Linked DNA regions of Styela clava. The protein of the gene in region 2 interacts with the protein of the main gene of each other region in a pairwise test. Links are inferred from orthologs where the notes say so. Each region holds a gene or a part of one and is shown on either strand. Other genes may lie near its edges. The genes, in order: PAN2-PAN3 deadenylation complex subunit pan3-like and PAN2-PAN3 deadenylation complex catalytic subunit PAN2-like.

What was found.
Region 1: the proteins of PAN2-PAN3 deadenylation complex catalytic subunit PAN2-like (region 2) and PAN2-PAN3 deadenylation complex subunit pan3-like interact in binary tests that used the Drosophila melanogaster proteins (3 or more experiments, as listed by UniProt). The link is inferred for Styela clava from reciprocal best matches to the Drosophila melanogaster genes PAN2 and PAN3.

The regions. Positions count from the first base shown.
Region 1 is NC_135262.1:19,581,602-19,592,549, forward strand, and holds the start of PAN2-PAN3 deadenylation complex subunit pan3-like, read right to left. Parts: upstream 4,223-10,948; 5' UTR 3,591-4,222; coding exon 3,551-3,590; intron 3,055-3,550; coding exon 2,930-3,054; intron 2,100-2,929; coding exon 1,994-2,099; intron 1-1,993. Other genes in the region: nurim-like, read right to left, coding at 10,613-10,716. UniProt on the Drosophila melanogaster protein: Regulatory subunit of the poly(A)-nuclease (PAN) deadenylation complex, one of two cytoplasmic mRNA deadenylases involved in general and miRNA-mediated mRNA turnover.
Region 2 is NC_135254.1:1,607,331-1,618,342, reverse strand, and holds the start of PAN2-PAN3 deadenylation complex catalytic subunit PAN2-like, read left to right. Parts: upstream 1-5,617; 5' UTR 5,618-7,288; exon of another isoform or gene 7,289-11,012. Other genes in the region: spermine synthase-like, read left to right, coding at 1,801-2,910. UniProt on the Drosophila melanogaster protein: Catalytic subunit of the poly(A)-nuclease (PAN) deadenylation complex, one of two cytoplasmic mRNA deadenylases involved in general and miRNA-mediated mRNA turnover.

The DNA.
Region 1 (10,948 bases), on a different chromosome or scaffold from region 2:
ATTATAAATAAAATAAATTCATCGTCAAAACCGCCGTTTAGATGTTTACCCGGGCATAGACTTCCTTGTTTACTTCGTGACATTGGCCAATCAGCAAGATGCAAAAATAAACGTAACAATGCCCCCTTTCGCATCCGCTCAGACACACTCACTCGGACAGATTTCCAGGCGTGGTCGTGAACATTACCTCATTTTTGCGTTTTTGAATTATATTCGTTAGTTTTTAGTTATTTTTCCGAAATTTAAATATAAATCATATAAGTCAATGATTACTTTGTCTTTCTATGAGTTTCAGTTTAAATACAGTAATCAAAAATTAGTGTAGAAATAGCTGTAATAGACTAGGCTAAAACTCTTTTTCGGTACTTTTAAAAAACAGATTGTTGAATGGTATGAATTAGAATGATAGTTTGAAACAAATACCCCATTTGACAGACAACAACTCACAAAACCACTCTTGAAATAAGCACCGAAAATTATAAAATGGTAAAGTATAGGAAGAATTTTCGAGGTCAAAGGTCGGAGATAGGTCCATTCAGTGAATCGTCCCGGGCCAGATTATTTTACTCCGGCCGTATTTTGCCGCCACTGGAATACACAAACTACCGTACCTTACTGCGAAGACGAGTCCAGCAATCCTTTCACGTGTGATAATCGACCACGTGATTTAATCCTGCAAAGCACACAGAGTACAGAATTATGCGCACGATGCGCCGAGCAAAAACAGGTTTCGCGAAATCGCCCCCTTCAACTTTTTGGCCCTCTCTGTATCGTTTTCGCCCACCGGGGGGCGATATCGCCCACTCTGGGAATCACTGGTCTATACTATATAGCCTGTGCTCTGGCAGGCTAGTGTGATCACAAAATATGTAAAACTGATATCTTAAGATTAATAAGAAGTTTTAGGCTCCAAAAAGCTTCAAAATGAAATGATTAGCAAGATTCTAACAGCAACCAGTGCAGCTAACAACAGTCTCTCTAAAGCAGTGGTCAGCTATGTTCATATACCTACGGGCCAAATATCAACTTTTTCGTTAGCGAGCAGGCCGCAATATTTCCGCCTTCGAACAATCTCCACATTGAACTTCAAATTATCGCGCATTTGCACCTTCTATTGCTGCGTTAAAAGTTTGCCACAATGAGACGTGTATGTGGTCTTTTTTATATGTTATCCAACAATGCATTCTTTTTATTTACTTATTATCAATGTGAATGATGTTTTAATGGCAACTTGCCCACGGTACGTCGTCCAAATGACGATCTGACAAGCGATTACAAAATTTAATCCAATTGTATTGCATTTTAGATAAAGCTGCTCACAGTAATATGAGCTTCCGAACATGCTTCCAACATGATTACGATACATGTTTTGCACTGTCGCAGAGATGAGATGTGGCACAGTTCTGGATCTCGGGGTCGAATTTTCAGAGACACGTTTTGTAACATTGAATCCCTCAATATCTGCGATGCTGGGCATATCGAGCAAACTGGTTTGGAAATGCTCAAGAAAAATATTTTCGTTCCAAGCACTTTGGAATGTTTGACCCTCGTCCCGAATTCCCCACCGTTTCTCAGACATTTTAAAATTTTTGAAAATCAACATTAACTCGAACGACATACAACTGTCGCTACTTATTATAAAACAAGCGTTCTACAGCAGACTTGTTACCACATAAATCCGTGTAGAGACAAAAATTTTAGGATAAACTTTTGTTTTATGTATTGTCGGGTCGTTCGAGGGCCGCAACAAATTACTTTGCGGGCCGCATTTGGCCCGCAGGCTGCAGTTTGCCGATCCTAGCCCTAAAGTATGAAACTAGTTTTGCATACAACCTCATTCTTTCATGCCCAGCAGAGCAAACCCAAATCACAGAAAATTAAAAAACAAAACTGCAGGTCCAAATTACTACTCATCTAGCTGTCTAGTGTTACAATGGATAAATATAAAAGCAATTATAATGGAAGACCTATTGAACAATGAAAATAGAGCTACCCATCAATGGCATGAATTCTTTTGCTTCCACACACAGGCCTGCATCAACTTCAGGTGGTCTTTCAAATGAAGCATAACTCCTAATATCAGGGCCAGCTTCATGGCTCTAGAATGATACAACACATAAAAAAATTGTACCCATATCCGAAGTATAAATTTATCATTTAGTTATTACTATTAGACAACAATCAAAAAGCAAGAATACTTCTCCCAAGGAGTACTTGTCAATTTTCCGAACGCACATTTTTGGGCGCATGTTCACTAAACGACGTAAGTACTTCTATTTGGCGTGGCACAACTATTTATGCTTATGTCATTCCTAACCTCCACCTGGCTCAGTGATCTAAAAATTACGTCAGTACGACCTCACAATCACGTCAAAAAGCTTGCCAAAGGATACCTTCGATCGCCCGGAATGGCATCTTCGCCAACGATAACGAACTCACTAATGCTAGTGATCTCTCTCATATCAGGATCATTATGCCGAGAAAAATAGCTTGCTCAATTTCGGGTGATCGCCTGCGCGTCTTGGATGACAGATAGTATAGTTTGGAAGGCCTTATTATGTTACTGTGACGTTGTAGTGACATAATTTTTTAATGACAAAGTCAGGTTGGGATTAACATATGCAAAAATTGTTATGTCGCGCTAACTAGAGGTACTTATGTCGTGTTGTGAACTTGGCCCCATTTTTGTTTGGGATCATTGCGAAAGCAATTTTAGGTAGATTAGAAAAGCAATATTAGGTAGATTAGAAAAGCAATATTAGGTACATTCGAAAATCTCTAACTTTAGTCATATTGCAGTATTGCTGTACAATAACTCTAAAGGAAATTCCCAAAGTTTTAGAGTAAATTTGTATTTTTTCAGTTAGTTGAATAGAACTAATATACTGACATACAGTATGATATAAATAAAAAAATAAAAGACTTGTACTTGAGAAGAATTTTCAAATATATTCCTCGACTTGTTTGTCATGCTATTGCTCCTCATCAACTGCTGAAATTTTGATTCCTTTGCCATTCCAAAAGATGGTAGATCGCCAACGAGGGCATTGTTAACTGAAATCAAAATTAAGCATAAAAAAAGTTAGGATATTCATTAATTGAAGCACAAGAGGTTTTAAACAATACCAATATGTAAAAATGATTGTCAAAAAGAATATTTTATTGCAGTATTATATCGAAGTTTTGTTTTGTGCAAGAGCCGTGCACATTCTCACGAAGGATATAATCTCAGATTGGGATTCAAATTTCCATACTAATTATGGTTTCAATGTTTCTTAATGCTGGTATTGATTTCCACCATGTTGGTGTTAGAAAAGAACATGCAGTGTTTGTCCAAACTCAAATTCACTGTATAAGTAGGCTATATGTTTATTTCGACTTCATACAGTCATAATCAGCATAACAATAAAATGATTGATAAACACAAATAAATAATAACAGATTATAAAATCAGGAGAGCAAACAAAACCTTAGATAAGGTTTAAAACATACAGAATGTACTTTGGCCATTGTGATACATAATACTGTCATAATAAAGGAATTATCTTACTATGATCGAAAAGTGATGGATCTTGTCCATTCCCGTCCATATTCCGGATCACCAGCTTAAAACAGCATTAGTTTTTCACAGTACCAGCAGGTCAGTCATTAATACCAGAATACCGTAATATTGTATCAGCGTGCGTATCCTTCTTCTGTATATTACCAGTTGACAGGTTGATTGTATGGCTAGTCAAATCTAGGGAAGTGATGATTGTCCCCAGACTGTATGGAAACGACTATTTTATCATGGTTCACTCTGAAATAATCTACGTTACCGGCACGGTGTTTTTGATTTTTGAATAATATTGGTCTTGCGGCAATTCAATCTGTCAATGGCGGTAATTTATGAGAAGTTGAACAATTAATTCTTTATCGAAAATAACACATAGAAACCGGTGTGTGTAATTGATATATCCCCTTCACGCATTTATGTTTGATCAAAAATTGACGAACCTTTTCGCCGATGCACAACGAACATGCACGCGATCGCACCAATTTCCCTGCGTGGAATTGTCTGAAATCAAGTTATTTCGGATAGACTCGAGACATTGGGCACTGCGTCTTAATGGCTTACGTAAAATGCGAAATGACAACGAAAAGAGGAGGATATTGAGGAGATTGACAAAACAATCGATATCATTTATTTGCGTTATGAATTGTTGCTTTGATGAATTGCCGGCGGTGTGGCGCGTCGTGCTAAGCGTTAGGAATACACTCGCCACCGCATCGCTGATCACTCCGCGTGGGTTCGCGGGTTCGAATCCACTGGAGGAATTATGTGCGAGGGGATCGTTGGACTCCTCGTCGCCACAGGGTGGTTCACGTAACCGCTGGTCGGTTACGGCTTCCATCACTATCAAGTCGATGCATCTGAAACAATAAGTGGCTAACTAGTCCAATACCTGACATGGACTGGTAACCGGATGAGGCAGTGGTTCTGACATATGATTAAGCCGCCTTAGCGGTTAGAGCAATAAACTGCAGAATTACACACTTTCTGAGATCAAAAGGGCATTGTTGTTAAAAACGGGGACCATCAACTATCAGTGAAACAAGCAAGATTTCAAAACCGATCTTAAGATCGATAAGTAATGATCTATCTGTTCATTTCTGGCAACATCTTGTCTCTTTTGGAGAGGCATTTGCAGACTGTTTTAGGGGTTATACGAGAATCAGATGCTACTTTGCATTTTGTTAGTTTCTCGCCTACAATGCCGTTGAAAAAACAAAATCTTTCAGATTTGAAATAAAAACCTAGAAATCTGAAAAAACAATGGGGCAGTGTAAAAGTGCCCTAATGTGGTTGAAAGCTGATCAAAAAATATAACACTATCAGAATGGAATTTCCTCCAAACTCTTTGGAACCGTAAAATAATTTGCCGCAACATCCTAAACGTTTTTGTTAATGCATATACGTGTTTTCGTACTCTAATTTCATAAAATCGAGTATATATCATAAAAAGTTCCTGATAGAAGTGCTGCATAAATAAAGCCCAAAACTACACCAAGAGAAGATTATAAAATTTGCTTTGGAAGTTTCTTATAGATATAAACATTGATTGTATATATGTGACCCACTCTCTTCTGTTCCGCGATAAAAATATAATTTTTGACCCATTCATTAAAAAAGGTTTGCCATCCCTGTGCTAGTGATATATTGGAGTATATATAATGGCGACCGAAGTATCAGTTGATATCTTTAGTGTTGGGACTAATGGTACGATTAATAAGGTCTTTGATTTGTCTGCATCCAGTTTGCATGTCATCTAATGTATATACAAATTTCTATGTACTTTTTTATTTGGATAAGTTACTATGCGATGAATGAAACGAAACATAGGCCTTCGGTTATAGAATAGGAAGAGGCCCTCGAAAGTCTCAATCTGGCGATTTCTGTCTAGCTCAATTTGATTCTACATGAATGTTTTTTTACCATATATACTTAACTTGTGAGCTATTTTCAGTGCACATTATTTCAGCTTTAGAAAAAAGATATGAAATATAAACATGAGAAATTGATGTTTGTGATTCAGATGTATTATTGGCGTGCCTCGAGACCCACATCTTACGGTCTATTGAAATACTCAGATTAATGCATTGGACCGACCCAAGAATCTCTTCGGCGTTCGCTTAGAAAACCCAGTTTGGTTATCAGCATGTAAAATAAATGTTTAGTTATCTTATCAAACTAATACAAAATAATTTCAACATTCGTATACTATCCTATCTTTTAATTTAAAACATTCTCAATCAGATCAGAAAGCTGAATATATCTGTCTTTATTTAACAGATCCTGGAAAATAGTCGATACATCTCTAGTGGGAAGCATATATTGAAGTGGTAGATAATCTGCTTTGGGTTATGAATAACACAATTATTATTCTTTGTTGCCACGAATCGTATTTATATATACGAATAATACAAATAAAAAATGAATATCATCTATTATTGGAGAACCTCACCCCTCGCGGCTAGAACTATTCTATCAATAAAACATATTCAGGCTATCAGTCGCTATGTGCGTAGGGACTTGTTCGAAAAGAATTGTTTAAAAACAATTGTTTCAAATCATGTTTTTTTTTGCCTGTTTTGTTCAAAATGGCTGTACTGTTTGATTTTTTTGTACTAAATAGATTAAAGATAAAGGACGTAAAAACTTGCCAAGCGCTTCTTATTTGCAATAAATCTTTCAAAACGCCACAAATATCGATAGAGACTCATGCACACCTTCTCAAGCTGTAGTTCAGTGGTTGGCGCAGTAAGACGCAACCGGTAAGCCATTACGTGAACGACTCTGCTGCGATGAAACCACCTTGCGAAAATTAAAATGCGATCTAATAAATGAGTTTGTATAATCTTGAAAACTCACTACAACCCTAAAAACAAAGTATGTTAAGCATAAATTAACCGAATAGTATTAACCGTAACAATGACTTCATTTTATGAGAAAAATGTCAATACATGACCTCGAAATCCATATTATGGCGTCATAACAGATTAGTTGTGGCGTCTTTGCATCAGAGAACTCTTACAATTAACATTGGCCAGGTTAGGGTGCACTTGATTGAATTGCTGTTGTAGTAGGCTCGTGAGCTAATTTTCATGATTTTTCTTACTCAAAACGTCTCTCTGATATCTCGGCTAAACACTCCGGGTAAAATCTTATGACTTTGTTAGAGATATAAAATGGCGATAAATGTACGCAATAGTGGTAAAAGTCAAAATAAAACATTTCACTTACATTTTTGAAATTATAACTCCGGCTGCGTGTGCAGCTGCCAGAATGCAACGTTTTGGCATAGCTTCGCGGCGATGCAAGGGGTATTTCAATAAAAAAAATTGATTTAAAACAAGCCCTTGTTTTAAAAACACGATGTTTTTTTAGAATTGATAAAAAACAAAACCCTATATGTGCGCGCCGGAAACTAACAGAATTGTGTTAAACACGACTAATATAGGATTGAATATTTTACAATTTGCATCTGTTATAAATGTTTTATTTATTTTTTTTTCATTTTTAAATGCTGTGAATAAGAATCAATAAATTCCTTTCACCTTTCTATGCCGTTTACTTTTCTGTTACGCGTTACTTACTACAATTTCGTGAGCTGCAGTTTATTTATCTGCTGTGCTGAACCGAATTTAGCGAACAAGAGCGATTTTTTTCAGTATTTCAAAGGAAGATCAGACAGAGAGGAAGATTTGAGTGGTGCCTTTATTCTCTAGGGCCTAGGCCTTCATGTTTACAAACTTTGAAAGACAAAGTACACATTACCGATCACAAACTTGAGTCGAAATTTAACGATCACAAAATTGAGGCAGAATTTTTTTTATTGTGTAAGTGCGCCGTGAGTGTTTTCCCTGATGATTTGGCGCATACCAACACAAAGTTCGGGAACCTATGCTGTAAAGCAAGAGATCAATTCTTTAAATAAAACGATGAATATAACCAGTTTTGCAATCTGTAACCAATGAAATTTGGCATTAGTTTAGAAGATGAAATGTTATTCTCACTTTGTTTTTTATGGGCCATAATTTGATTGCAAACCAAACTACATCGTATATGATGTTCATCAAATTATTGGATTAAAAAAAATTTACTTTAATTTTAGAATAAACAAATTGGACGATAATTTTTTAATTTAGATTTAAATCCTATCTACGAAGTGTAGAAAAACTAGCCATTCTGCTACCGTGTTTCCCCGAAATAAGACCTAGCCTAAAAATAAGATCCAGCAGTCGATAATGCGAAATCTCTCCTACACGTTTTAAATGATTAATCTAGTGAATTGCAAGACATTCCAGAGGATGATGATTGATGATATGTTCATTTTCGAATAATGTATGTTTTTAATTGTTTATTTTTTTTTTTGAATAAAAACGTCTTATTAATAAGTAAATGGATATCGGTTTTCATATTTTGTATATTTGAAAATTTCGTAATTGTCTACTTCGTAATCTATTTTTGATGAATGAAAATAAAAAACATCCCCTCAAAATAGTCCCTTGTGTTATTTTTCGAAAGAAAATTGAAATAAAACACCCATCCTATTTTCGAGGGAACACGGTGGATGTTGCAAATCTAAAGTTGAATAAGACCAAAAAATAACTAAAATGATGATAGTTTTACTTTTCTTGTGCATCGAAACATTGATATGATAAGATTGAAGTAATTTCATAAAGCATTCGACGGATGATGTTTTTTTTTTATGTCATGTTGGGTAGGCCTATTCGACCCACGACCATTTTGATTGTCTTGTCATATTAATTTAATTGTGCACGTGGTATCTCCCTGATATCGGTTTTCAAGATATCGCTGCGAGAAAGATCCGAAAACCTACGAGAAAATCCCAGACTGTATAATTAATTGGACATACTTTACATTGATCAGCAGCCGGGATTAAAAATACATATTTATCGCGTGTAAATCTCCTCGGAATGGATTTTGAGACAGTTGCCGTGAGTACGCGACTTGCGACTTTTCATTGGGTAATGATTTTTCAGTTGCGCGAAGTATTCAATTGACGGGCAACACGAGTCTATTTATATTGCTTTGCTTTATCAGATCGTGTGTTTAATGTGACCACGTCGACAAAATAAGAAATTTACTTTGAATATATCACGGCAATCCCCGGCCACAAGAAAACTTGTCAAACTGCCCCATTTTATCTAGTTTCGATTCGTATTTTTGCGATGTTACGAATTATACAAATTTAATCTGCTATTGGAACACTGACTCAGTTCTATCACAATGATATCACCAAAGATTATTTTCAAAATATCAACGTTAGAAAAATCCCTAGATATGCGATAGTATTCTAAAGACTACAATTTATTTTAGTACAATAATAATTGATTGTACCATGATACACCGGTAGTCGACCAAAAATTCGATCTCGAACAGTCGAGTGGTGGTTAAGACTGGCAGACGAAAATCTTAGTATGCAGTTGAGTTTCCAAATCGTCAGTTCGTCCTAATATTAAGCGCTTAGTAAAGCAAAAAAGTTTCCAAAAATCTCACTAAAAAAAAATCAATTATTCCTTTCCCATTTTATGCTGCAATATATCATTAAATAACCTAAGCTTTATGGATGAAGTTGTTCGTTCTTGTTGATGAAAATTAACAGGTATCATAGTATGATTTGTGCTTACTCAGCGGTGACTGATAAAATTTAGCTTAGCGAATGGGTTCGTCACCCCTGTTATAGAGGATGAAATGTTATTCCTACTATGTTTTTTATGGGTCAAAATTTGATTGCAAACTACATTGTATATGATGTTCATCAAAATATTGAATCACAAATTTTACTTTCATATTAGGATGAACAAATGCAAAGTAAATAATGATTTTTTAATTCAGATTTAAACTCTATCCACAAAGTGCAAAAAAATAGCCATTCTGCTACGTGTTTCCCCGAAAATAAGACCTAGCCTAAATTTTAGAAATGATTTTAATATAAGGCGCTCCAGAAATGTGTGTACCACTAGTTTTGTTGGCCTACTTTACATCGAGTTGTGTGAAGGGACTGAAACCTATGGGCTGTTGGTATATTCATTTGGCTAACACAGACAGTCCCCGAACTGTTGGTAATAGAAATACAATAACGAAAATCGGAACGAAATCATGATCTAACCATAACCTGGTACACGCACCACGGGAGTACCGATTTCACTGTCTAGAATCGGCGTTCAAACGGCAACGTGACGCCTATGTTTTGACAAAATGTGACCACGCTTGTTCAGCGATTAGAGCGCATACATATGTTGGTATCACAGGTTAAGGATTCCTGTGCCTCATTGGGTGAGCAGTGTAAAACAGGGAAGAGGTTTTAGGTTTCTAATCTTTAAAGAATTCGCTTTATGAAATTAACAAATAATTTCATTATTGAATGAACAAGTGAGTACAAGACTAGATTACCTAGTACACAATATAAAAAAAATGAAATGAAAAATGATATGATTGAAATTTAAAAAAGTGTCATATCCTCATTACAAGATCTTACTTCAAATGTCACTATAATAGGTAAATGACCATGAAGATGAAAATTTAACAATTGCAAAAGACATGATAGAAATATAAGGTAAAATAACGATAAAAATATGTATGATGTACAGTACCAAACATGTCATAGATGAATGATCAACTTAGTTAATATAAAATTGTAGATTTAGTAGAAGTGGGAAAACTTAACATCAGAAATATTGTTTAATGTTCATCATTATTAATGATAGAAAATTAACTTACATCAAATCATAGATTGAAATAATAAAAATGAAGTTTAGTACCTAGGTAACCAACTCAAACTTAATTATTCAAGAAAACCATATTAAAACACATTCATTTGTCAATAGGTATTAGAATGTACCGAATTAATAATAGAAAGCACACAAACTTTTAAACCTGCACTCGCTTCTTGTTTGCTACTGAGTTGTGTAAATTGGACCTCATGTACAAATAATACAAATAGTTTTGAAAAATATGGATTCTAGCACGTCATCATAGAATAACAAAATTTTAATCCAAATCTCAATAGAAAGCAATCTGAAGAATCTAACATATTTCTTGATCTTATTTTTTACTATATAGTGATTCTTTTTTCTTATAGAACATGCTTTGAACATAAACGTAATCTTCATTGTCAGCATTTGTTGAAAATATATAAACAGTAAAGGCTGAAATAAAAAAAAAATGATTAATTAAGTTGATAACAAACAGCGACAATGATATTATGTAGTGTAGGTATCTTGTAAAATGTATGTTTGTTTGATATCACATTTCGGCGCTCCGGAAGTGTGTGTATCAATATGGCTAATTTTGTTTGCCTATTTTACATCAAGTTGTGTAAAGGGACTAAAACCTATGGGCAGGGGGTATATTCTCTTGGCTAACACAGACAGTCCCCGA
Region 2 (11,012 bases):
ATGTATGTATGTTTATATATCTCGTAAAAAGCAATAAAATCGTAGATAGATTACGGTATCATTACTGATGACTGGATGTATGTACAAGACCATACTGGCCTAAAACACAAACGTGCGGCATGCACCCCGTTTAAAAAGTTTTGAATAGAAATAAATCGAATAGGTACATACCGGTATAATATGGTCCCTTATACAGACAATTGTGCAAGGAGAGTGGGTGAGTGTGGTGACAGGGGTAAGGGTGGAGTATACAAAACTGTTTGTACAAGGGAATTTGTAAGACAAGACAACATCCATAAATAAAACATAACACAACACGAAATAATCTGCATGTATAAATAATACTAAAATTTAGAATTTGTACATAAATACAACACCCTTGAGTGATGGTACCACATAATATAAATGTGGTATGGAATGCTCATGTTTAAATAAGTGTTAGTGTCTGATTTTTTATGTGTATACAGTAATAAATAAAGATTTTGTCAAAAAATTCAACACAGTGACGAGAACAAAAATCATTATGTTCACCCATGTGAGTGCCCTAGATATAAACCGTCCTTTTGTATGATTAGAGATACGGTACGGTAAGTTTATTTCGACTTCATAATCCTGTAATCAGCATAAAAGGCGATAAAACGATTGATAAGAACAAATAAACAAAAACTGATTATGAAATCAGGAGAGCAGACAAAACCTTGGATAAGGTTTAAAATAAACAGAATATAGGACAGTAGGATGGAAGGTATTGCCAAAAAGAAGTGGTACGCATTCACTCACATAACATTATTGAATCAATTTACTCACACACACAACCATAATCTGATAGGACCATAATAAAGTTAGAAAAAAGAGAAGCTTTAGATAAGTAAACAAACAAAAAAAATAAATAGGTAAAGAAGAAATTAGAATAAAGACTAAGAATTGTTTGCCACACCCTTTTAATAATTTTGTAAAAATTCCCAAATTGAATACAGATTTTGTAGATACAGAGATATGAGGGAACAGTATTTAATATAAAGACATTAAAAAAAAAATGCTTTGCCACCCTGATTATAGTTGGAGTCAAATGCCAAATTGCTTGAATATCAGATTGTTGAAAAGGGCTACACTAAATGTCTTGACGGGCCGGATTGTGGCCATATTTATAGTGGGGAAGAGGGAGGAACGAGTTATTACGCTGGGGGGGAATTGAAAAAACTCCAGATTTTGCAGCCAGGATATAACTTCAATATTTGCAGGAGGTAAGAAATTGAAGTAGGGCCCTGGTACTATTACTGTTTGGTATTAGGAGCACACTATACAGATCGAGCAACATTGTCTAGTTTTAGAGAATCCCATTTTACTGAGTAACAGACACCCCTTCTTTGGGAGACGTTTGGACATTGTTGTCCCTCAATATCGGTAATAATACAGTATAATGAAATTGCGCAAATGCTGCAAATAAACGCAATCTAATATTGTCATCATTGAATTCCTTGGGGAAAAAATAATCCGATTTACAAGAGGAAAAAAAATTTACCGTGGCATTCGAGAGTTAGCGATTAATTCGGGCACGATTAATTTAGATTATTATTGAGACAAGTATGGTACGATATGAAGCATTTGACGTGGTGCCAGACACCCCTTGTTTGTTAGACACATAGAGTGTTTGTTTTATTGAGCCCAATGGAGAGAAATTCTTGGAATTTGGATAGTGTGCCATGCTGTAAGAGGAAACTGTTTTATATTGTACATTTGCACATTCACAGCTAACATAGCTTAATAGTTTTCTATAAAAGTATCATATCGTATGACACCATGGATACTTGGCTAACGGAATATCATCTCAAACCTGAATGTTTGGAAAAAGACAAGGCCGCAGATCTAATAGATGAATTATCCACTCTAATCCGAAAAGTTTTGGGAATCGAAAGCGAGCTGGTCCACAAGTCATTCAATAATGGAATCATAGCTTTCTTCACTGCAAAATCTGGCGAGACTGTTTTACTCCGAGGAAACAAATCTGTAAACCTCTATCCTTTACTGACTATTGATATTAGTACTCCAAAAATTGATGACTCATGCTTCAAGGTGCAACTAAGCGAATTTAATGATAAAATCAAAAAAATGAGTTTTGTTGAAGAGTTGAAAACACCAGGCTTCTTACCATGGCCGAGTTTGAAACGAGGGAGATTGTTTTCGAAGTATGATTTGCTCACCGGTCTCTTAGTAGAGCGCGATTTTAAAGGTGTTCACTTCGATGATGTCTCTCCGTACCAGCATGTTCGTATTATGGACTCACCCCAATATGGAGGTTGTCTCTTTCTTGATAACGATCTGAATTTATCGGAAAGTGATCTGGAATACACTCGAGCTATCACTGGATATGATAAGGAAGATTACAAAGATAAGAATGTGTTGATCTTAGGAGGAGGGGACGGGGGAATACTTCATTATCTACGAGATCGCGGCCCATCTATGATAACAATGATTGATATCGACCAAATGGTTATTGACGCAGCGAAAATACATTTGCGAGGAATTTGCCACGATGCTCTTGACTCCCTCTCTGGTGAAAATTACGAAGTCATAGTAGACGATTGTGTAAAATATCTCAAAAAATATGTAGCAGAAAAGAAAAAGTTTGATTATATAATTAACGACCTAACTGCGATTCCAGTTAGCACCGAGCCAGTAGGCGATCACTGGGACTTCTTGCGTCTCATATTATCGATGTCAATGAAAGTTCTGAAAAATGATGGAAAATATTTCACTCAAGGGAACTCACTGCTGGCTCAAAATGCACTCGCAATGTACGAAACGCAGCTCGAGAAATTGGAGTGTCGCGTTAAATACACGAAGAAAGAGGTCTGTGTGCCGTCCTATTTAGAGCAATGGGTTTTCTACACTATATGGAAGGATTCATAGGATTCAAGATTGTTGAATTTTCGAGAAAATTAATTTGGAAATATCACTATGAAAAAAGTCCTCTCTAAAGCTGGTATCTGATCCTAGTTTGAAGCAATATTCATTCAAAGTAATTCAATAAAAAGTTTAGAGTAAGGAGTTAAGAATAGAAAATATTCATTGGTGCCATTTAGTGTTGTCTCTTAGTTAAATGCCCCTTTCTGTCTAATCTGACTTTAACAGGGGAGTTGGTTCTATTTTATAAAGTTTGTCTAATCGCGCTTTGGTGATTTTTAGTTGTGCCGGCACGCTTCAATAAAGTTATCAATTGTGTAAATCCTGTTTAGTCATATTCAAATGATTTTTAAGCGAAGTATTCCAAAAAGAAGCAACCGTTCACAATTTTTTTTGTTTTTTTTTCAAAATCATCTTTCTCCAGTTTTGCCTTTTTGGAGCAAACCCCCCTTGTAGTGGGAATTCTGTCTAATCCGACTACCTATGAGTTTTTAGTTAGGCTGTTATTCTTTGATAGAGGTAATCGATTCTGTGAATTCTGTCTAGTCATGTTTGAATGATTTTTATTAAAGATTGTCACACCTCATTAGATTATTCTGTGTAAATTCTGTCAAATCACGCTTCGATGGTTTAAGATTGTGTATAAATTTTGTCTAATCATGTTTTAATGATTTGAAAATTGTTTTAGTTCTATATAATTACGCTTCGATGGTTTATAGCAGGATTTCCCAAACTTTTCGGGCGGCAGACCGCTGTTAGTGAATATAATTTTGACGGGCCCTCATCCTATGTCATATCAAATTTTGTGCCTGACCAACGAGGAAGGATAATGTTTCCATTACCGAAATAAAACTCATCTAAGTTTTAACAAATACATACTAACTTTGAATACTGGCAGGTCAACGGCATGTTGATAAGATCATGATTTATTTGTATATGTTTCAGACTTATTTCATATCATCTCAAACCCCAGTTTCGGAAATCCTGGTTTATAGATTGTGTGAATTCCGTCCAGTAACGCTTCATTGGTTTATAGATTAGGTAAATTCTGTCTAATCATGCTTCAATGATTTACGGATTGTCTAAATTCTGTTTAGTAACGCTTCATTGGTTTACAGATTGTGGGAATTCTGTCTAATTATGCTACGATGATTTATAGATTGTGTAAATTCTGTCTAATCACGCTCCGATGGTTTATAGATTGTGTAAATTCTATCTAGTAACGCTTCATTGGTTTGTAGATTGTGTGAATTCTGTCTAATAACGCTTCAATGATTTATGAATTCTGTGAATTCTGCCAAGTTGCGCTTGAATGATTCAGGTCAAATAATGGTAAATGGAAGAGGTGCTATCAGTGGCGCAACCAGCGGGGGGGTTACGGGGGTCGTGTCCACCCCGTTTGAAATTCGTTTTTTTTTATTATCGTTCTACGTTCAAACAACGTCGTTCCACGGTCATAACAATCCGGTGAAAACTACTTTTTTCCAGTGCTTTATCACCTCGACGTAATTTAACACCGCCCGACTTCAATCATACCTTTTTGCTGTTAGTTACGTAACAATCGCTATCCCCGCGTATATGTTTGTATTCGAAAATGAGATATGTTACCTCAAAAAGGTAGAAATCGCGCGCTGTCGATGCGAATTGAAAGCGACAATAGCATAATGCTATCTCTTTCTCTCTTGTGACGAATACTCTCGTGCTTCATCATCTTGACGCAATGTATCGCCGCCCGTCTTCATGTTATAATAATGCAGTAGAAACTCTCAAAATCTGGATACGAAAATTATTTTCGGAAAAATATTGATTTTTATCGCAGCCATGTGTGGTACGGCAATAACTAACAGTCGTCGTGAAAGGTTTTCAATAAACTCCGACTTGAAGTGCTTATAAGACGTCGAGGACGTTTTTGGTTGAAAATTTTTTACATTTGTTATCGTATATTTCAATTTAGTCAAGATATGTTGTGCGCCTCGGCAATAAACTTAAAAGCAAATCCTGCCCTAATTAATTGTTTTCATCCTCAGTTTCGATAGTTATCGAACTTACCGGGAAATTTTTTAATTTCTTGCACTCTATAAAATAGCTTCTAAATATTATTTGGTTTCTATCGGAGATTTTATCGTTATCCCGGCGTCGTTAATAACAATATCGTTCATTTTAAGTTGGAGGTATTGGTTTATAATCGAAAAATTATAACACATAACATGAAAAATTTAAATCAACGCCGACTCAAAAAGTAAAACACGTTTCTCCATCTTTATTCTCCATTATTGGCGGACGGAAATTTGGGAATCGGGTTTAACTAATTTGATTATGATGACGATGGTAAACAAAAGTACACAAACATACCATACCGTTCTTAGTTTTTAGTCGTTATTTCTCTGTCCTTTCTTCTTTCTATGTGCATATTAAGACCATAAAACGTGTTTTATTTTTGAACTCTGCGCTGATTTGAATATTTCATGTCGGCTGTTATGTATTTTTGTTTGTAAATGAATACCGCTAACTTAAACTGAACGATGTTGTCATCAACGCCGGATGCCGTCGAAATCTGCGATAGATATTAAATACTATTTAAGAGCTATTTTATATGCGCTACATTACAAGTAATGAAAAAATTTCCTGTTATGTTCGGTCACTATCGAAACTGAGAATGAAAACAACTAATTAAGACACAATTTGCCGAGGACGCCTGAACCATCTCGACTAAGTTAAAATACACGATAAGAAAATATTTTCAATCAAAAACGTCCTTGAAGTCTTATAAGTTCTTCAAGTCGGCGTTTATCGAAATTCTTTCATGTCAGCTGTAATATATTGCCGAACCACACATGGACGACGCTAGGATATGTGCGCCATATTCGGGATTATTATAAACACGAAAAAACAGTATTTGAAGTTTGCGATATTTGAATTTAAATTCGATTTGGACATCCCTGCATTAAATTAGTCATTTTTTAGTTGTGTTTCCAAAAATTAGTTGTAAATCAATTATTTTAATTGTCATCATGTCTTCCGGTGAGCTTCAGTTTAGTTTAGAACTTTTCTGGGGTTAGGGTCGGGAAAAGGTCCATTCGCAAGAAGTGCATTTTGTTTTTAGTCTTGACGAATTCACCCAACGAGCAAGGCCGGCACTAGGGAAACACTGGAATTTATTCAAGCCGTGTTTCACTATCCACGAGGCGCAAAGCGAGGGAAATGTTGAAAATAATTAACAGCTTTTCGTTAGCAATTCGCTGGAATGTAATGAACGGTGTTTGCTACCCACGAGGTGCAAGACATAGCGAAGCGTCGTTAATGAACGAGTGCAAGGTAAGCTGAAGGCTGGGATTTAATCGATGGCGTTTCCATTTTAACCACGAGCAATTTATCGCGTTTCAGCGGGGCGACACCTAGAGGCGTTGCGACTTACGTCGTGGTTGCACTGTGTAAATTCCTGTCGGACCCCCCCCCCGTTGAAAACGGTCTGGTTGCGCCACTGGGTGCTATTTTAAAATTTATATATAGGCTTGCCTATTCTGATGTTGATTGAAAATTATGATTTAAGTTTAATTTTATTTATTAAAAAGAAAAATTCCATATTCAAGTTCAAATAATAAAAGTAACTCTTTACATATTGTCAGATTTCAATCAGGCCTCATCACATTTTTAGAATAAAGCGCAATCATAGCGATTTTTCTTGTGAATCATAACTTATATTTTGGCAGAATATACTCATTTGAATTATGTGGAACTTATGCTGCAAGTCATTCTTCATTTTTTCAAATATGATTAAATGCAATCATCTCGTTTTCAACTAAAATTATCATAACATATATTTTGGCAGAATATGCTCATTTGAAATATGTGGAACTAATGCTGCAAGTCATGCTTCATTGTTTTTATGCTCATAACCAAATCCCTCTGTTATGTTGCCACTTTATTCTTCGGGGTGGCTGTAATGGGGTCGGAATTGAACTAGGAACCCAAACTCATAATTGTTTAAAAGCAGGGCTGTGCAGCCCGCGGGCCAAATGCGACCCACAAGGAAAAATTATGAGGCCCACAGAGAAGTGCCAATTTTAAATAGTGTTTGGCCCACGAAACGAGTTTTCAATTTAGTCCTATCTAGTATGTGCAGGTAATTCCTATTCCTTTGCATTGCAAAACTTATACCTGAGCTTATGCAGAGCTAACAACACGTGTCATAAAATCAGTAACCAAAGTTTTGTGCTTGCAACTACTAGAAAGCCTATGTTGAATAAACGTGCGGCCCGCGATTTCACTCAGATATTCCTACCTTGCCCTCTTGTATTAAAGGTTGCACATCCCTGGTTTAAAATCATTAGAAATATTTTCAGTTATTACTAATCGATCTTAAGATCGGTAAGTATGTTGATAGGTTTTTGTCTGTTTGTATGTCTGTGTGTTAGATGCACGCGATATCTCACGAAAGCGAGTTTGAATCTGCTCCAAATTTTGAATGTGCATTCATCATAGCTCGGATCAGGATTATGTCTTATAATTAGCGAGTTATTGATTAATTAGTGATGGGACACACGGTGTCACTATGGAGTAAGACCACTGTTTTGAGGGATCCCCTAACCTTCGATCGATAAGTCTTCTTCTTTTAACCGATATTCTAGTTTTTTAAATTCATTACCATGTGCAGATGAAGCTTCAAATACTATGCAGTTCATGCATTCTATACTTTCTAATTTGGGTGCTATCTCGTTAGGGCCCAGCATCTAATTTCCGACCTTTTTAGTTTATCTTAAATTTATGGCAGTTCAAACAGGTACCCTAAGCCGAGAGGTCTACGGGACAGTTCTTTCTGGTTCACAAGCAATGTCTTCCGTTATTGAAAATTTGTGATTAATTTTAATGATTAATTTAAAAAGAATGGATCATGTCTTTTCAAACTATTTGCTATGCATGAAAACCCATATTTACCGGCTTCTCTGAAAATTTTCGAACCCCCCCCCCCCCCTCTAAAAATATCTTGCTATGCCCCTGGGTTATGGCAATAGCAGGGTAGCACCCAACCAACATGATGTTTTTATTTGGCATCCAGTTTTTGCTTTTACCTTTTCAATTACTGTAAAATTCATTGTAGTACTCAATAACGTTTTTGTACATTACTGTGTTTTGTTCTCGTAGTTCCAAATATCTGTCAACTTTAGTTCCGAATTCAGTTTTCAATTTTGCAGTTTTGTCAACTTTTTTCAACTATTAGACCATGGAATAAGAAATGGAGTTGTATCTTCAAACTCTCAGAAAATAATTAGTGATAATCGCGTTCAGAATACCCAAATAGTTTGGGTACTCCAGCGTAGCGAGGAGGGGTAGGGGGAGGTCCGACATGTACAAAAGTTTAATTTGCTTTTCAATCATTTACGACTTTAGGTCAAATTCAAATTTTCCTGATCAATTGTGAATTTTCCTATAGTCCACAGGCATGAGAATACATGAACAAATATATATTCCTTGTCTCCCCTAAAAAAAGACCCAGTCTGGATTTTAAAATGATTTTAAAGTAAGCCCATCCCTTAAAAATAAGACCTAGTTGATAGTGCAAAAATAAAAACGTGTAATTTTGAAGTAAATTAATATCGATTGTCATATTTATGTATATTTGAAAATCTCATAATTCTCTACTTTGAATTTTTGTTTCTGATAAATTAAAAAAAAGACATCGCCCTAAATAAGCCCTAGCGTTATTTTTTGAAAGAAAATAGAAATAAGACCCGGTCTCATTTTTGGGGAAACTCTGTATTTATTCAGAGTAGATTTAAAATTATTTAATTTTAGCCATTTCTGCCAAACACTGTTCCTATTTCGTCATCTTTTTTTAAAACTAGCTGAAAATATTTTATGTTCTACAAGTGCTTACAATTTTTACAACTGATATTTTCTGGTGGATTTTCCCATAGTCCACGGGCCTGAGAATATTTGAATATGAACAAATATTCGAAATAGATTCAATTTTAGCCGTTCCTGCCCAACACAGTTCCTATTTTGTCAACATATTTTAAACGAGGTGAAAATAATTTTTAGTTCTGCCAGGTATATTGTTACTAGAATACTCAAATTTTGCCTATTTTGCAATTTTTATCATCATGCTGATTCTAAATAATTTCTCATTTTAATTTATTACAGGTTGTTTAATTTAAGATAGTATTTGGACTTATTTTAACCATTCAAAATTCAATTCTGTCGGAACAAAAATACATGGATATTCCCATCAATCTTTGGTACTACGGAATCATTAACCAACATTTGAATGGAACAAGTTTCTGCTACATTTCCTTGACAGTGCTGACTTGAAATGTCACAGGGATATATCTGTATCTAACTGATAAGAGTATCATTGGCTACTTGCAACTCTTCTATCAGGACTCTTTCCACATAGACTTGAGGACTTGGAATCTTGCTTTGAGCGAACTTGCAACTCTTTTATCAGTACTCTTTCCAGTAGTTGAGGGCCCGGGACCTTGCTTTGAGCAAACTTGTGACAGCTCTTCGCACTTCAATGACTGTTTGTAACTCCTCTATCGTCATCTTTTTGGATTGAGGAATTTGAATCTTCAAGCTAACTTGCTTTGAGCATATTTATATTTTTAGCTGTTTGGACATCACTAACTGCTTACAGTGCTTGAAGGCTTATGACCCTGCTTTAGGCAAACTTATACCAGAACCCACTTCTGGTTGAGTGTCTATGTTTTGAGCAAACTTGCGCAGCTTTTAGCATGCCTTAGCAGTACTTTTCCCCAATTTTGAAGCAAATTTTAAACCATTGAAGGATTTTTATTGGACTTTGATTTGGTTGCTATGGATACGTGGCTACTTGAATTACGACTCAAATCTTGGTCTTTAGAGAAAGATAAAGCGGAAGAAATCATCAAAAATGTATCGGATTTGATTAAAAATTATTTGTGCAGTGATTGCAATCTCATGTACAAGTCATTTAATGTTGGATTTTTAGCCCTTTTCACTTCGAAATCTGGCATCAGTGTTTTAGTACGGGGCTTCGAATTTGATGGCGTGCTTCTGACTCTTGATATCAGCACACCTGGTGTCACTAACGGAGCTTTTAAAGCAAAAGTTTCAAAATTTGAGAAAATTATTCAGTTGTTAAGTTTCGTGGAACCACCGAGAACGAGATATTTCCCTTCCCTCCCGAGTTTGAAACGTGGGCGTCCATTTTCTACGTATGATTGCGAGGACGGTTGGTTATTTGAGTTTGATTTTGACTCCGTAGTTTTTGACGAGGTCTCGCCGTATCAACATATTAGAATTATGAATTCGAAACAATATGGAAAATGTCTTTTCCTCGATAATAATTTGAATTTATCAGAAAGTGATCTCGAATACACTCGAGCTATCACTGGATATGATAAGGAAGATTACAAAGATAAGACTGTATTGATCTTAGGAGGAGGGGACGGGGGAATACTTCATTATCTACGAGATCGCGGCCCTTCTATGATAACAGTGATTGACATTGATCAAATGGTTATTGATGCAGCGAAAATACATTTGCGAGGAATTTGCCATGATGCTCTTGACTCCCTCAGTGGTGAAAATTACGAAATTATCATAAGCGATTGTGTCGTGTACCTTAAAAAATATGCATCAGAAAAGAAAAAATTCGACTACGTCATCAACGACCTTACTGATATTCCGATAGACGTGAACCAGTCTGAGGATCAGATAGCATTTTCTCGACAAATTTTGTCTCTGTCTATGCAAGTCTTAAAAAATGACGGGAAATACTTTTCTCACGGGATAGCACTGCCTTCATCTGTCGCTGTTGTGGAGAAGCAATTTCAAGATCTGGAATGTCACGTGAAATACACGAAACAAGCTGTATGTGTACCGTCATTCTTCGAGTTCTGGATGTTCTACACTGTTTGGAAAGACATCTGAAGATTTTAGATAACATGTTTTCCGGCTAACAAACTGTTGCCAAGTTTAACACTAAAAATGTGAGTTTTCTGAATTACTGCCCAATAAGCCAATGCAGAACAATTTTGTTTTTCTCTGTTTATAAGATAAGCACCAAAGTTTTGTTTTTATCGATTTTATTTTACTCGATCTGTATGTGTGTCATTAACCTTAGAGTT